Oryzias latipes: one gene and its partner. The protein of the gene in region 2 interacts with the protein of the main gene of each other region in a pairwise test. Links are inferred from orthologs where the notes say so. Each region holds a gene or a part of one and is shown on either strand. Other genes may lie near its edges.

Region 1 (4,538 bases), on a different chromosome or scaffold from region 2:
TGAGGTGTTTCCCATTTTGACCTTGGGGTTTCCAGTTCCTATTCTGCACACATGTTCCTGTATATTATTCCAGCCACTTGATTGTGGCGCTCCATGTATGCTTTACCTGCCAGCATCTTACACCCTGCAGTTATGTGCTGGATTGTTTCAGGCGCCTCTTTGCACAGCCTACACCTTGGCTGTATATGTGGGTGTGTGGATAGATAGATATAGTCATGTGCTCAGTGAATGTCTCAGACAATGGAGAGCTGAGGATGCAGTGCTGGAGGACAGATCCTCATGGGAGGACAAACCCCTGCATGGGATGTACCACCGGACCATAACTGAAGTGGCGGATATCAAGAAGTCTTACTAATGGCTAGAAAGGGCTGGCCTACAGGACAGCACTGAAGCACTCATCTTAGCAGCTCAGGAACAAGCCCTGAGCACCAGAGCGATAGAGGCTCAGATCTACCACACCAGACAAGACCCAAGGTGTAGGCTGTGCAAAGAAGCGCCTGAAACAATCCAGCACATAACTGCAAGGTGTAAGATGCTGGCAGGTAAAGCATACATGGAGCGACACAACCAAGTGGCTGGAATAATATTCAGGAACATGTGTGCAGAATATGGACTGGAAACCCCAAAGTCAAAATGGGAAACACCTCTGAAGGTGGTAGAGAATGAAAGGGCAAAGATCCTGTAGGACTTCCAGATCCAGACTGATAGGATGGTAATGGCGAACCAACCAGACATTGTAGTGGTGGATAAAGAACAGAGGAAAGCTGTTGTGGTGGATGTGGCAGTGCCAAGTGATGGGAACATCAGGAAGAAGGAACATGAGAAACTGGAGAAATACCAGGGACTCAAAAGAACTGGAAAAAGCCTGGAAAGTGAAGGTGACAATGGTGCCTGTGGTAATTGGAGCACTCGGGGCAGTAATACCTGGAAAGACCTCAGACCTCTCAGTCCAGAAAAGCGCAGTGCTAGGAACAGCTAAGATACTGCGCAGGACCCTCAAGCTCCCATATAGATAGATAGATAGATAGATAGATAGATAGATAGATAGATAGATAGATAGATAGATAGATAGATAGATAGATAGATAGATAGATAGATAGATAGATAGATAGATAGATAGATAGATAGATAGATAGATAGATAGATAGATAAAAACAATGTGTAGAGAATAAATTTACCTAACATAAAAAAGAAATACGGTAAAAATAAACGAAATAAGAAATAGGGAAAAAAAATAACTTTAATTACTACAGTCTTGGAAAGCGTTTTAAAAAAATTGTTTTTTAAAAGTAGACTATTTAACAAACGTTATTATACATGCGAAGCATCAGAAGAGCAAAGACGGGGATAGTAAAACAAATACAAAAAAATAAAATAAAAAGACAGTAGGCGAGGAATTAAATTGTTATTACAGAGCACATTTGAGCGAATGACAACACAATGAAAATAGGGGAAAGTTCAGTGTATCGTCTCAAAATAAAGTTACACAAGCGTTTCAGCTGCACCGGAAGTTAGCCGGCAGACAGATGATGTAACACATAGAAAGTTCCGGATGAACCAAAGGTCGACATAAAACTCGCAAGCGACGTTGCGGCTCCAGATTATCGCGTCAGTTTTTCATCAAACGCACAGCTGTCCAACCTTAATATTTAGGTATGCCAAGAGGAAGCAGAAGCCGGACATCTAGGATGCCCGCCCCGGCCAGGTAACGATTTCTATTTAATAACTGGGATGAAAGGTGGTTAGATAGTGTGCTGCGTGGGATAGCGCAGGCTAAAATGTGCTAATAGTGTTTCAGTGTCAAATGTCTGTGGGAGCCTGCCAACAGAGTTGAGGATTATTTTAACACATTTAGTATCCTAAAATGCCCAAATCTGGAGATAAAAACGTCTATTTATGTTCAGACAGGATTGTTGAGGCAGGCCAAGAGTTTCTGACAAATGTAGTAAAGGTCAAAGTGTCAAACCTATGTATTTTAAAATTCAATTTTATAGAATGGTATAACAATACGTCATTAATGTTCATCTAAACTCATTGAAAGGTTGAGATGCTTTGCATTCATCCAAAAAATGAACTTTAATAATGTTCACAGTGTGAAAGTATCTCTATAATATAACACGTTTTAGTGACAGTTTACTACAAAACTTGGGAAGATTTTTCTTACGTAATTGGCTTCTTTAACCTTCAGTTACATAACTGTCCTGACAAAACCTCATCATGACCTCCAAAACCCACAACATCAACTCTGACACACAATTTTAGTGAGAAATGATCTCTCATTAGACCTAAGCGTAGACCTGAACAAGAGTGATCATGTCAACAACAATAACTCAAAAAATATTACTGTCCTGTAATTTTTAGGTACGGAACATGCCAACTTTGATATTTAAACTAAGGTTTACGCTTTACAGCCGGGCGCCACCATCCCCACCACCCATGGCCAGAGCAGCACCTCCTCCTTCCCACGCCCCTGTCCCAATGCAGGCTCCTCCATCCGCTGTGGGAGCACCGGCTGCTGCACCCAGGCAGCCGGGTATGTTTGCGCAGATGGCTACTACAGCAGCTGGGGTGGCAGTGGGCTCCGCGGTGGGACACACTATTGGCCACGCGTTGACTGGTGGGTTCGGTGGAGGACAGTCAGAACCAGCCAAGCCCGACATCACGTACCAGGTAAAAGGAAGAGCATCTGCCAAAGGACCAGAATAGTATCGGTAAAGATTAGGTTGTCTAACTCCTGGCAATGCCAGCCGTTCAGAGCTCAGCTCTAACAGGAAAAAAGGCAGTCAAATTTACAATTAAAATGTTGCTAAATCAGTTGGAATTTTAATTCATAAAATACAGTTTTGATCTGATTACATTGATTATTTACATGGTGTTATTGTCAAATTGAGACTAACTAAAGCCAAAGTATATATAACTTGGTTTTTTCTTTTTAGGTTTCATCATTTTATCATGTCAAAGATAAACTGAGCCTTTAAAGTAAACATTTTCTTTACATTAGCTCATAAAATACTTCTATATTTAATAGAAGCTGTTGTTGTATTTTTAACTGAATTTCATTTTAAAACATGTTTTACTCTAACTTGTTTTGAAAACAAATGCCCCTTTTTTCAAAATTATTGTCTCTAATCTTTCATTCTGTTTGTCAGGAGCAACATCAGCAGCAGCCACAGTCTTTCTACCAGCAAGAACAGCAGCAGCAGCAGCAGGTTTGCTCCTATGAGCTCAAACAGTTCATTGAGTGTGCACAGAACCAGAGCGACCTGAAGCTCTGTGAGGGATTCGGTGAAGTACTGAAACAATGCAGGTTTGCAAACGGTAAGCAAATGTGGAAATACATTTTGTAATAAATAAAAAAAAAGTAGATATGTACTAAGGGGTTGTTATATTTTTCATCCTCCTGTGTGTTCGATGTTTTGTAGTCTGGTTTTTCCTTTTTTATTTTTATTTTATGTAAGCTAAGCATGGGAAGACTTTCTGTTTTTTCAAAGATTTATTAGGTCCAAATTCTTTGTTGGAATTTGTCAGGGGTGATGGGAGTTGTAGTTTAAACCCGTTTTACTTATGTGATGCTGCACATTTAAAATGATAAAAATAAATGCATCTTAATGAAGTGTTTTCTTCTCCACAGGACTATGATGAGGTGAAGACAAAGCGCTGCAGAGAAGAGGAAGTCACAAATGTTATCAAAGTTTTAGCAGGGTATAATTATTAAGGGATCAATCAACAAAACAAGCTCATTATTTAACATTTGAGTTTCAAGCATCATTTGTGAAGACCGCTGCAGAGCTTAGAAAAATGTTTATATACTTTAGTGTTGTCATTTCCTCAGTTTGTAATTATGATGGGAGCTTGTGTTTCATTAGCATCCATGCTTTTAGTTTCTTCTCTGATACTTCAGACTCTGCAACATGAACCTGTAAGAACAAAAAGTTTGCATTTTCTGGATGAGCATTGCTCAAGGTTTGATTGTACCAGTAAAAAAATAAAGTTAAATCTAAACCTGATTTATTTCCTTGCCTCTTCAATCACACGTTGTGTTTCTTATTTTGGCCTGCTAGTTCTTTAAATAGAAACTAGGAGCTGTTACAACTCAGCGGTCCAGCAACTGTTGTGTCACTCCAGAACGGTGCACGTGCAGTAACCTGTCTCTGAATGCTAAAGGTGAGAAAAGGGACCGTCTTCTCACAGCATGGATCCCAGTTTTTGTTATGTTGATTCGCCTAGGCTGCCTGAGAAGCAGCCGTGTATTTTTGGCGTGTGACATTAAAGCTCGTCTTATACGACGTGGAAGCGGCCACCCCACACACGCGTGCAGCAGCAGTCGGAGCGGACCGGACTGGTTTTAATCTCTGCAGAGCGATCACACTAAGGATGAAAAGGATTTTTTAACACGGACAAGAACGGTGAGTGTTTTCAGGTGTTGCTTCGCTGGAAATGGAAAAAAAATGGCAGTGAATGACCCCTTACATGAGTGTGATTCCGTTTTAGTGCACGGACATTTATAGATTTATTTTCTTCTCATCGTTATAGTTTAA
Region 2 (4,361 bases):
TTTGCCCCCCAAGTGCAATTTAATTTTCTCCTCGGTGCTCCCTCCTCGGGTTTCCTCCTCGCCTTCCTGCCTCTCCCTCTCTCTGCTCTGGAGGCAAAAGCTTGGGGACTCTCGCTGCCATCCCTGCGAGGCTGTTTTCTCCCTGGAAGCCGGAGAGAAGCGGGGACCTGCTGCTGTTCCTCTGCGAACCCTGAGCACATCCTGCGGAAAAAAGGAGGAGGAGGAGGAGGAGGGAAAGGAGGTGGGAGGAGAGAGGCAACAAAATCAGCCATGATTAGGTAGGTCTGCGCGATGCCTACTGGTTCATCACGCATGTGGTAAAGTTCTGAGATGTGAATTTAAATAACTTCAATAACGAGCCTAAGAGGCCAAACAAATGTTGCACCAATGTGAGCGCAGATTTTTCGTTCCGGCTTGGATACGCGGGTCCAAATGCGCGCACACTGGAGCCCCGGGCTCTGTCAAACGTTCTGATTTGTCTGGTTGCGCGCGCAGTAGGGCCGCGTGGCGTCTTTAGGGCGTGCGGATGAAGGCGCAGTGTGTGTCTGGCTCAGTCAGACGGATCTGTGAATCGCGGATGTCAATGAACTGGTCCACTGAAATATTAGATCTAATTAGAGGTGGCTGGGTCAGCGCTGGTGGCAAAGGAGTCGCCCCCCGCTTGAAATATTGCCCAATAGCTGCTTCTCAACAAATTATTTCTCCTTTCGTCTCTGCGAGTATGAACCCAAACCTTTGAAATGATAGTTTTCCTCGTCAAATGATGAAATACAGGCCAAATCATTTGGCATGCAAGCAGTGACTGTTTCTGACCTTACAGATCAGTGGGGAGGTTTTTAATTCTAAAAAAGATGTCGTTTCTTGGACATGTCGTTTTGAAGATGAAAAAATAATCTGCATCCCATCATTATATGTCCCACATGTGCGTGCGCGCATCTGATCTCTTTCAGCTTTTTACATCCGTCAATTATTGTAATTGTGTTGCCCTTTTCTGACGAGTTAAGAGCATTTTTATCTGCGTTTTTTTCAGGGCAGCTTAAGGGGCCTCGATTACAACAATCAGAGTAATTGAAAAGTGAACTGGGTTGAATGATTTGGAGCGGGAAGGTGTGGAATGGAAATAAAATAGTGGGGGGACGCACTGATGAAGGCTGAAGAAGAGGAGAACCTCGTGGCAAAACGGCTACCTTGAAATCTGGAGTGGAATACACCTGTCGTCGTTTTAATCAGCTTGATGCGTTTTTACAAAATAAAATCCTAAGAATAGCTGCTGTGGGATTGAGAGTCTTGGTTTTATAATACCATAAAAGAATAAGTCCATATAGGAAACACGGTTGGCTTTGGATAAGGTAAATGGAATAAATCATGGCTGCAATTCTAGACATTTTTCATTTTATTAATGACAAAAAAGACAAGAATTCACTCTGGTGTGACCCATATTTGCGCTGCGTAAATCCGGAGAATCTGAGCGGAATCTGTTCCAAACGATTTTTTAATGCAAAAAAAACCCTTTGTTTTTATCAAATTGGCTAAATAATCCAGATGCGCCGTGACGTGCGCGTGCGCTTGTGTTTGGATCTGCAGACTGACTTGATGCAACAGCTTGTTTTGGAGGCGGCACAGCCTCGACAAACAGACTGCGCGCTTTTCTTTCCCTGCCTGAAGTAAATTGGAAGCGAAGATGGAGTTCATCTGGTCTGAACTTGCAGGCCTCCGGAGGGAATATGTTCCCGGCGAGTTCAGCCTCAGACGACGGGCTGCAAAATGAAGAGTGTCAGGAAGACTGCGCGTGGACTCCTAATCTTCATTCCTGTTTCTGCGCGGTCAGGAAGCGCGCACAGATGATGCTGACCCCGAATGTGTCAGAGAAAATGTTCCTTTCAGCTCCATCTGTTCAATTCTACAGGAAATGTAGCTTTAAAATGAGTCAAATTGACCTTTTTGGCCTTTTACTTGAAATGCCTTATTACTTCACCCGCTCACACATCAAAGTCTCACTCTGCACTTTGAGAACTGATTAAGGAAAAACCATCAGGGCCGCACAGACAGGACCTCAGACGATCCTCATTTTCCGACCTCTCCTCCTCCCCTCCGGATCGGCTCCTGCTGGCCCGGGGCCCCTCGTGAAGCCACTGCAGTGAGCTATTTCTGGTCTCCGTGAGCACGGTTCCCCCTCTCCTGAGACAGTTTTCATGGCCCACGTTCGACGCCTCTCCTCCTCTCCTTTCTCATCGTCGCCTGCACACCTATCCAGGATGCTTTCCGCCTCTGGGGCTTCCCCTTCTTGCGCTCCGATTGGCTCCATGTGAGGCTCTGGCGCGGTGACGTCATGCCCCACCGCCCCTGCAGCGCTGAATGGACCAAGCAGCCTTCTGATCCACTCCAAAAACAGCTCAGCACGGCGCGGCGCCGCACGGCACGGACATCCCTCTGGAAACGGAGGAATAATAGGGATTTGAGCCCACAGTGTGCAGGGTGGACACAGGCCTCAGCACCTTTTTTTGTTTTTAGCCCCCATACAGGGCAGGCCGGAGGAGTGGCGCGCGCGTCTGTATCCCGGTTTGGATCACAATGATGCAAAGTGCGGCGGTCCTGCCGACAGAGAGTCCCGTGAAGAGTTTACCGGAGATTCTCGGAGTGCCACTGCAACGTAAGACACCTTTCTGTCCTCCCCGCGTTTCTGCTGAGTGTCTGGCGGGAGCCGCGCGCGCTGTGGGGGTTTGCAGCATGGAGAGGGATTTATAAACGGGGAGACATTGAGGTGAAGAGACGGAAGTCCTGCAGGCCGGTGATGTGTCATGCTGTGAACACGCGGGCATCAAAAGTAGCTTTAGATGACCTTTTCCCGCCTTCTTCTGTCCCATTTAGCAGCCAATCGTCCTGACTGAGAACAACAAACGGCGCCATTTGATCCAGTCATATTGAATAAAATCAAAAGAATCATTTCTCTCTGTACTTTCATGTTCTCTGAGCTGTTAATTTGCAAACGAGCCTTCTTGGTCAGGAGATCAGACGCAGTTGTCATCATCAGCCATCAGACAAACGCTCTCTGACTTTGACTGACACTCATTGTTGGGTCAAATTAAAGGCCTCAGACGTTCAATTGGATCAGACAGCAGGCCTCAAACAAGTGCAACAATTACCAGGACTTGTTCAAATAAAGATTTCCAAGAGGTCATTACTGCGGATTTAGCAGCAAAGGTGAGAAATTCTTCACATCTGTTTGCTGTTTGTTAATCTGTGGGCAGCTGATGTTCGTCCTCTGACCTCATTATTCACCGGAAGGTTTGAATGTACAGATGGAAAAGAATCCACAGACACTGACAACCACGAGACTAAAATATTGATTTTAGAAAACACTGACTTCAAAAGATTAGAGAATATTCACAATTGCTTTAGTCAAATTTCATGTTTGCAAAATAATTCTGAATTGTATTGTTGTTGTTTCTTATGGAGGCTGCACAAATATGTGCCCAGCTCGTTCCAATCTGCACGTGCAGTCAGATTACTCGTCAATTTTAGATGCTGGATTCAGATTCTGCCACTCAGTCCCTGCAGCGCCGGGATTCATCGAGCCTGGATTATTTCAGGAATCAAACCGTACGGACCCCCCGACTCAGAACACCCGCATCCCAAACCAGAGGTGCGTTTATTCTCCAAAGGAGCAGCAGATGCTGCAGCCGGGTCTGAGCGCGTGCGCCTCCGCCACGTGAGCTGACGGGAGCGACGATGAGGAGTGGAGAGGTGGCAGCCGATAATCAGATAGGAAGGAGACCTCCCGAATCCACGCGCTCCTCTCCCCACACACGCGTGTGCGCGCACCCTGCACGCTGCCAATCCACGCGCTGCCAAGAATCGTGCTGCTGTCCTTTCAGCACCACTCCTCTCCGCCTCCCGAGCAGGCGCGTGGCTCCGGATGCCTCTCCGTCTGCGAAGGCCGGAGCTCGGATTCCCGCTCCCGCCCTTTCTCCTGTCTTCTGCGGCTCGCGCCAGTCCAGTTCCGCGGGTCTGCTCTTCCCGCCGCTGCAGTCACACCGAAACACCGGGACGTTTTCCGCAGCTTCAGCAATTTCATTTGAAAAACATGGACGGAGAGTCAGAATGGAGGGTTTTTCCCCACAGTTAAATGTAAATTTATCTTCGTATTTTAAAAATAAAAATCACATTTTAATGATAATTTATTACGATTTAAAAAAATATTTTCTCCAATTAAAAAAAGAAAGCTGTGTTTTTTTGGGGCGGGAAGGATCTTGACTTGCAGGCTGCAAAAACCTAAATTAAATATGATAACTGTAACGTGATTATTGACAGAGGATTTCATGCTGTGGACCCACAGTGAACAGCCACGTGGGTTTTCACAC

What was found.
Region 1: the proteins of lhx4 (region 2) and chchd2 interact in binary tests that used the Homo sapiens proteins (3 or more experiments, as listed by UniProt). The two-hybrid records come from large-scale screens. The link is inferred for Oryzias latipes from reciprocal best matches to the Homo sapiens genes LHX4 and CHCHD2.

The regions. Positions count from the first base shown.
Region 1 is NC_019871.2:16,549,967-16,554,504, forward strand, and holds chchd2 (coiled-coil-helix-coiled-coil-helix domain-containing protein 2), read left to right. Parts: upstream 1-1,508; 5' UTR 1,509-1,655; coding exon 1,656-1,705; intron 1,706-2,411; coding exon 2,412-2,670; intron 2,671-3,149; coding exon 3,150-3,318; intron 3,319-3,631; coding exon 3,632-3,639; 3' UTR 3,640-4,007; downstream 4,008-4,538. UniProt on the Homo sapiens protein: Transcription factor. Binds to the oxygen responsive element of COX4I2 and activates its transcription under hypoxia conditions (4% oxygen), as well as normoxia conditions (20% oxygen).
Region 2 is NC_019862.2:32,187,447-32,191,807, forward strand, and holds the start of lhx4 (LIM/homeobox protein Lhx4), read left to right. Parts: upstream 1-1,272; 5' UTR 1,273-2,571; coding exon 2,572-2,650; intron 2,651-4,361. UniProt on the Homo sapiens protein: May play a critical role in the development of respiratory control mechanisms and in the normal growth and maturation of the lung. Binds preferentially to methylated DNA.